2 linked regions of the Canis lupus familiaris genome follow. The protein of the gene in region 1 purifies or fractionates together with the protein of each later gene. This does not show direct contact. Links are inferred from orthologs where the notes say so. Each region holds a gene or a part of one and is shown in the gene's direction. Other genes may lie near its edges.

Region 1 (3,823 bases):
TGTATGACCAAGGAGCAGCAGTCAGGGAGGTGGGAAGACAACAGTGCTGACTTTGAAAGAGAAGGTAAGAACTCAGAGGTGTCATATGCCATAGGGACCATGTTGATAACAGGAAAATAATGGTCCTTCCATCATAAGTTGGTTAGTTTTCATGACTACAGACTATACTTCCAACCCTAGCTAATTATTTGGAAATATCTGATCTTAGTCAAAGGAAGGGAAGGGATGATGTGTGGTTGGATCAGTCCAAACTGATCCCTACCTCTGGAAAATCAATTCAATACACCCAGTGTATTGGGAGGGCAATATATTTTCATGTAGCTAATACAATCTTTATTATATACCATACGGTGAAATTATATGGTCTTTGGTACAGTGAACATATTGGTAGTTAAGTTTTTTGTTTTTGTTTTTGTTTTTTTTTAAAGGTAGCATGCTTTTAATGGTAGTGAAGATATAATAGTTAACGGAAGATGTGTCATCTAGGGAAGGCAGATGTCCTTGGTATGATCTGGGTTCAGTACCTGGTTCTTGGCTTTGATCAGATTATGGGGATGCACTCATGTTGTTAACCTAAGCCATAAGACAACCAGAATGCTTAAAAAATTTAATTTATTTATGCTTGTTGATCTCTTTGGGAAAACTTTATAATGGAGTTGAAATAGAAGCAGAAGGTGATCTGGTAATTGTGGGATTCTGATTGGGGCAATTAAATAATCTATTCTGAAGGTAGGAGAAGAAAGTTTGCTTGTATACTATATTCAGAGTCCTGTTCTGGGTACTATACATAAGACCTAGCTGTCAGTGAGGGCTTAAGGTGAGTAGGTGGTGTGTAGGAGACAAGAGGCAAGTAAATCTCTCTCTGCTAAAGGATCTAACCGTCTAGTTGAGGACAGGTGCATTCCCTAAGGAATGCCCAATAACCAAAGAATTGACATTATTTCCTCTATGCGAGGGACTTGCAATACCTTGTGTTTGTGCAAATGGTTCTTGAAATGTATTGGAATAGTAATTTTTCTTTGAACTTGCAGGTTCTCCAGAAAAGAAAATTGAAAATACATCCGGGAATCAAGAAAATATTTCTGTTAACCCTATCAAGAATAGAAAAGCAAGTCCAGTATCTAAAGACCACCAGACCGGAAAGAAAACCTCGGAGAATTCATCAATACAGAGTCAAGTGCAAAAGCGGAATGACGAGTCTGAAAGTGATTTTGAATCAGATCCCCCTTCTCCTAAGAGCAGTGAAGAGGAGGAACAAGAGGATGAAGAAGTTCTTCAGGGAGAACAAGGAGATTTTAATGATGATGATACTGAACCAGAAAATCTGGGTCATAGGCCTCTCCTCATGGATTCTGAAGATGAGGACGAAGAGAAACATAGCTCTGATTCTGATTATGAGCAGGCCAAAGTAAAGTACAGTGATGTGAGCCCTGTCTACAGAGACAAATGTGGCAGTGGACCAATGCAAGATCCTAGTAACACACTCCTCTCCCCGACCCGATTACCCTCTGATGTTGGCGTAGAGGCTCCTAAGCAGGAGTTTGATGTATTTGGCGCTGTCCCCTTTGCAGTGCGTGCTCAGCAGCCTCATCAAGGAAAGAATGAGAAGAACTTCTGTCAACAGAGCCTCAGTCCTACCGTGGGTCTGGAGCAAGAGGAATTTGACGTATTCACAAAGGCCCCCTTTAGCAAGAAGGTGAGTGTACCGGACTGCCGTGCCGTGGGGCCCGAAGCACATACTTCCCCAGGTTGTCCAAAAAGTGTAGATATATTTGGCTCCACTCCATTTCAGCCCTTTGCCACATCGACCAGCAAAAGTGACAGCAATGAGGACCTTTTTGGGCTTGTGCCCTTTGAGGAAATAACTGGGAGTCAACAGCAAAAAGTCAAACAGCGAAGCTTACAGAAACTGTCTTCTCGCCAAAGGCGCACCAAGCAGGATCTGTCCAAAAGTAATGGGAAGCGCCATCATGGCACACCAACCAGCACAAAGAAGACTGTGAAGCCTACCTACCGCACTCCAGAAAGGGCTCGCAGGCATAAAAAGGTGGGCCGCCGAGACTCTCAAAGCAGCAATGAATTTTTAACCATCTCAGACTCCAAGGAGAACATTAGCGTTGCACTAACCGATGGGAAAGATAGAGGGAATGGCCTGCAACCCGAGGAGAGTCTGTTGGACCCCTTTGGTGCCAAACCCTTCCATCCTCCCGACCTGCCGTGGCACCCTCCACATCAGGGCCTGAGTGACATCCGTGCTGATCACAACCCCGTCCTGCCCGGGCGACCAAGACCGAATTCACTGCACAGCTCATTCCACAGTACAGATGCGTTGAAAATGGATGATTTTGGTGCCGTTCCCTTTACAGAACTTGTGGTGCAAAGCATCACTTCACATCAGTCCCAACAGTCCCAGTCAGTTGAATTAGACCCATTTGGTGCTGCTCCATTTCCTTCTAAACAGTAGATACTTCTGACAGACTCTTGGCGTTAACTCCTGTTTCAAAAAAGTATGAATAGTTTTATGAATTTGAAAGGAAATTTATTTGTATAGCTCTTTATATCATTCACTCGCAAACAGGTCAATCAGAAATAGGTGATTTTTAAATAAACCAAATAGAAAAAGGAAGTGTCTCCACAGAGTAGTGACTTGCTGTCTCTTCCGTGAAGGAGAAAAGGGAGCTCAACTGCTAGCTCTAACCCTGGGCTTCAGCCACCAGATCGGACTCCACAGAAATCCAGGGGGAGCACGCGCCACCTTTCCAGTTGTGTAGCCACTGAAAAGGGACTGGAAAGCTGTGTCATTATTTTTGTAGCAGAACGTCACTTGGGTGTGCATATTCTGGGCTCCTGCCTGTCAGGATCCAGCATTTAAAACTAAGGTTATTTGTACATACAGAGGTTGGATTTGTGAATTTTCAAAGGTCTCTTCTAATTTCCACACAGTAAAATCAAAATCTGGTTCTCCTAAAGAATGAAAAAAGTTACTATCTGGAGAGAGCAGAGATTTTAGTCCTTAACACCTTTCTCGACAGAACAGAGCCAGAAGTAATGGACTATTGTGCCTAAAACTGTTTTGTTTTTTAAAACAAGTGCCATTAATAAGGAGTATCTACACAGAAGCCCAGAACAAAAACCAGAAAAATACCTGACTTGTGGAAAACGTAGAAGAAAAAAAAATGATACAGAAGAGAGAAAAGCTACTTCAGGAAGTTTATATTGCTTTCGAATGGCTTCTTGTTCAAAACTTTTACTGTCATGTCCCTAATAAAGCAGATTGTTGGAAAATGGGGAGTGAGGACAAAGGTTGTATAGAAATTGTACTTCAGGAAAAAAATCTGTAGCTGAAACCCTGAGTTTTTAAGACAACATAAAATCATGTTGCATTTAACAATGTGCTTTATTAAATTACCACCTTCACCAAATATTCCCCAAGTCGTGAGTGACAACTTTCTAGTTAGGTTGGGAGGGTGGAATAGTTTGAATAAAGTGCACAGAACAGTGAAACCCAAAAAGCCTTAGAGGCAGGACTCCTGCATCCTGCTGCAAGTACCTCTGCACTGACACACAAGATCTTAAAATGGCTGTAAGGTATTAGATGATGAGGAACTAGCTTCTCAGTTCTGCTAGTTGATGCATCCAGTGAAAAGAACTTGGCTACCAAATTGCCTTTTTTTTTTTTTTTAACACCACAAATCCTAATTAGAAACTTGAGATTTTATAGAAATTGTTTAATAAGTTAGAAATTACTGTATGAATTAATGTGAATACAGTATCTGTGCTTCCTGTGTCTCCAGCTATTTTAAGTTCTAATTAACTGTCCTTC
Region 2 (3,823 bases), on another chromosome or scaffold:
CCCACTGAGCAGGGAGCCCAACGTGGGGCTCAGTCCCAGGACCCCAGGATCATGACCCAAACCAAAGGCAGATGCTTAACTGACTGAGCCACCCAGGCACCCCTGATTTTAAAGTTCATTAAAGAGCACAACATTTTTATTTAATCTTTTCTTACTATGCCTTATTTTTTATTTATCTGAGGAAAAATTTTGAGTTTAGAAGATGTCAGATGAGAGGAAATTTTTTTTTCTTCATGTATTTGAGGGAAAATGATAGAGATGGGAACCTGAGAGTTGCCACAAGAGATTTTAAAACAACCATGTGGAGAGATCAAGGAGGGAAAGCTGGCTAGGTTTTCAGTTAACTAACAAAGGAGAGATAACACTCATAATTTACTTCAAGTTTTAATTTTTATATAACTGGTTTATTGTTAATAAATTTTTTTTTTAATTTTTATTTATTTATGATAGTCACAGAGAGAGAGAGAGGCGCAGAGACACAGGCAGAGGGAGAAGCAGGCTCCATGCACCGGGAGCCCGATGTGGGATTCGATCCCGGGTCTCCAGGATCACGCCCTGGGCCAAAGGCAGGCGCCAAACCTCTGCGCCACCCAGGGATCCCCTCTGCGCCACCCAGGGATCCCCTGCGCCACCCAGGGATCCCGTTAATAAATTTTGATCAAAACAGAAAAGTTAGAACCAAAGGGTGATGATGTTCTATTTTAGACGTCATAGGTTTGGAATGATGAGGAAAACATGACATAATAGTAGGCCATTGGACTTGTGGACTAAGAAAGATTGTGTTATTTAAGAATTATTTACTTAGAAATGATTGAGTGAAGTATTAAATGCAAAGAGAAAATTTGGAAGTCTGCATATTTTATAGCTGAAGAGCATTCAGAAATTTTAGAAAACCAAGAATGTATAGTATTATGGAAACAAGAATACCATGAGTGCCTTGTGCAATAGAACAAGAGAAATGCGATCTGAGATAGAGTGCCTGGGTGGCTTGGTCAGTTAAGTGTCCGACTCTTAATCTCAGCTCAGGTCTTGATCTCAGGGTCATGAGTCCAAGCCTCACATTGGGCTCCACACTGGGTGCGGAGCCTACTAAACAAAATAACTCCCTAACAACAACAACAAAAAGATAGATAATGAGGTCTCACAAAAGGCTATGAGGCTTGGTTACTAGGTCATATCTAGATAGTTTTACAGGATAATAAATGCCTTCCAATACTTGTCAAGCATTCTTAGAAGTCTTTGTCATTTGATCCCATTCACTCTGCTTGTTCGTTCTACTAGCAAAGTATGTGTTTACTAAAGAAAAGAAATGACTTGTGTATTTACTCAGGACAACAACAGGCTGGAGTTGTTGCCCATCCTCCTGCAGTGCCTCCAAGACCACAGCCCTCACAGGTAATTCTTCAGTGTGTTCATTACTGAACAATTATATTTGTCTGTTAGGGGTTTGCTTCTACTCTGGAATTATTTTGAAGATCAAGAATTACCCAATTAATCATTCTTAATGAGCATTTCATTTAGGGAAGCTGGGTCTTATTTTGGAAGTCCAGAGGAGTTACCTTTGAAAGAAACTTAAAAGTGGACCAAATGATAATGTCTTAATAATGGAAGGTTTAGTGGAGAGAACAGTGGGTTGGGAGATATATGTCCATGTATGTCCTGGGTCTAGCAGAGGCTCTGTGCCCTCCCTGCATCTCCCTGCCAAGGATGTTACTCCATCAGGAAAGAAAGTGTAAGAAGACCTCTGCATCCCTGCCAGGTGGAAATTGTTTTCATCTAGTATGTTCTGAGACAGATTCTGGATTATAGCTATAGTTTTATGTGACTGACTGGCTGGCTGCCTCTTACAAAAATGAATTTGGTTGATTTTTTTCTGAGTTAGATTCTGATCATGAGGTTGGTTACTTGAAGTTAGAAAGATGGTTTCTTAATCATAAAAGGTCCTGAAATTTGAATGTTTCCATATCTAGTTTATCTAAAATGCCAGCAAAAATATTTGTGTTGGGTTAAACTGTGAAACCCAATGAGCTAGTCACTTGACTCAAGAACGAGTTCAGTGGGGAAGACAGACCTGTAAACAACAATTATAATGGAAGGGCTATGCTAGATATATTTATGAAATGCTTTGGCACAGCTTTACTAGCTAGTAAAGTCAAGGATCTCATTGAAAAGGCATAAGTAAAATGAAAGAAGTAAGACTTTAAGCAGAGACTTGAGAGATAAAGTAGTGTTTCTTGGGGAGAGGGCACTCCAATCAGAAGGAATGACATTGCCTGGCATATTCAGGGTAAAGGAGTCAGTTTAGTGCAAGTGGAATGATGGGAGATGAAACTGAAGAGGTGGTTGGAAAGGGGCAGAGTATTTCTGTGTCGTACTCAAGACCCAGAGAGAGTCATGAGACTTCTCACGCTGCATTTTACGTTCTTGTTTACTTGTCTCTTACCTTGCTCTGGTCTATCTGCTTCTTTAGGGCGCAGACTTTATTTGTTCATTCACTATTATTTTCATAATGCTTGGCCACAAGTTAGATACTCGGTAAATTTATTTTTGAACTGAAGATTTTAGGATTGCTCCACCAAAGGAGTGGAGGACATACCAAAGGGAAGTACACTGAAGTATTGGGAGGATCCTTAGAGCAGTGGTTTTCATACTTTAAAATAACCCTTTTAGAAACATAATGAAACAGTTTAAAAATAACTTGTTAAAAGCACACACTATTCTGCGGTACCCTAATTAAGAAAACAGTGGATGCAAGTGGAGAATCAGACAGTAGGGCCATACCCTCCCTCTGCTTTCATGTACTTTCTTTGCAAAAAAGAATTTTGTAAAAGTATCTTTTTTATTGAAGGTTTGTCATCTTAATTTTTTTAGTGTGTCAGCATTCCACTTACGGATTTTAGAGCCAGATGCTACCGTCCCTTATCACCCTGAATTTACAGATAACAAAGCATATCTACAATATATGTTCAGAGAAGGTTGCGGACAGTGATTCACTAATAAAATATGTGTTCCTCTATCCTGATCCATCATGTAGGCTCCTGGTCCCGTTGTGCATCGCCCAGTGGATGCTGATGGCCTGATAACTCACACTAGTACCTCACCTCAGCAGATACCAGAACAACCAAATTTTGCAGATTTCAGCCAATTTGAAGTATTTGCTGCATCAAATGTAAATGAAGAACAAGATGATGAAGCTGAGAAACATCCAGAGGTCTTGCCGGTCAGTTTTTAAGGGCTTATGTAATTTTCTGCTGAGAAACTCTTCCCACATTATATTCATAAGCAGGTCTATAAACAGAGGAACCTCTAAAAGAGCAGATATTAAGAGTGACTATAAGTGAGTAAAATTGCTGCTGCTGCTGCTGCAGAGGATTTATATTTCCTACATCTGTGCATTTTACTTATTTGACCTCAGGTACCTGCTGGTTACGATATATGCTCAATAAGAATCAGAATCTGGGTGGGAGTTAGCTGTGGTGTGAAAAGACACAAACACAACCATCTGAGCGTGGCTAAAACACTGCTCCGGGGTTTGCATCTGATGTGTGATTTGGTGAAGATTTCCATGTAACAAGTGGTTATGGTTACCATAGCTACACTCCATTCATATGATAGTAAGTCACCTTAGTTAGACCTACAGACTACAGGATGCCAAATTCAGTCTTTGCAGTGTTCCAGGATGTGCTGTTGAGTTCTAGTGGCAGGAACTTCTACTAGCCACTTCTTCAAAATTGAAACTTTCTGCCTAGCCCTGGGCCCATTAGGGGTATGGGCTATGCCTCCAGGAAGCAAGGGAGGGCCCAAGGGGAAGTACAGGTGTGCA

What was found.
Region 2: the proteins of BMP2K (region 1) and REPS1 purify together in Homo sapiens (affinity purification with mass spectrometry; 3 studies listed by BioGRID and IntAct, counting the BioPlex papers as one, with this or other methods). This does not show direct contact. The link is inferred for Canis lupus familiaris from reciprocal best matches to the Homo sapiens genes BMP2K and REPS1.

Annotation. Positions count from the first base shown.
Region 1 is NC_049253.1:36,918,730-36,922,552, reverse strand, and holds part of BMP2K (BMP-2-inducible protein kinase), read left to right. Parts: intron 1-1,031; coding exon 1,032-2,464; 3' UTR 2,465-3,823. UniProt on the Homo sapiens protein: May be involved in osteoblast differentiation.
Region 2 is NC_049222.1:31,378,343-31,382,165, reverse strand, and holds part of REPS1 (ralBP1-associated Eps domain-containing protein 1), read left to right. Parts: intron 1-1,330; coding exon 1,331-1,395; intron 1,396-3,034; coding exon 3,035-3,220; intron 3,221-3,823. UniProt on the Homo sapiens protein: May coordinate the cellular actions of activated EGF receptors and Ral-GTPases.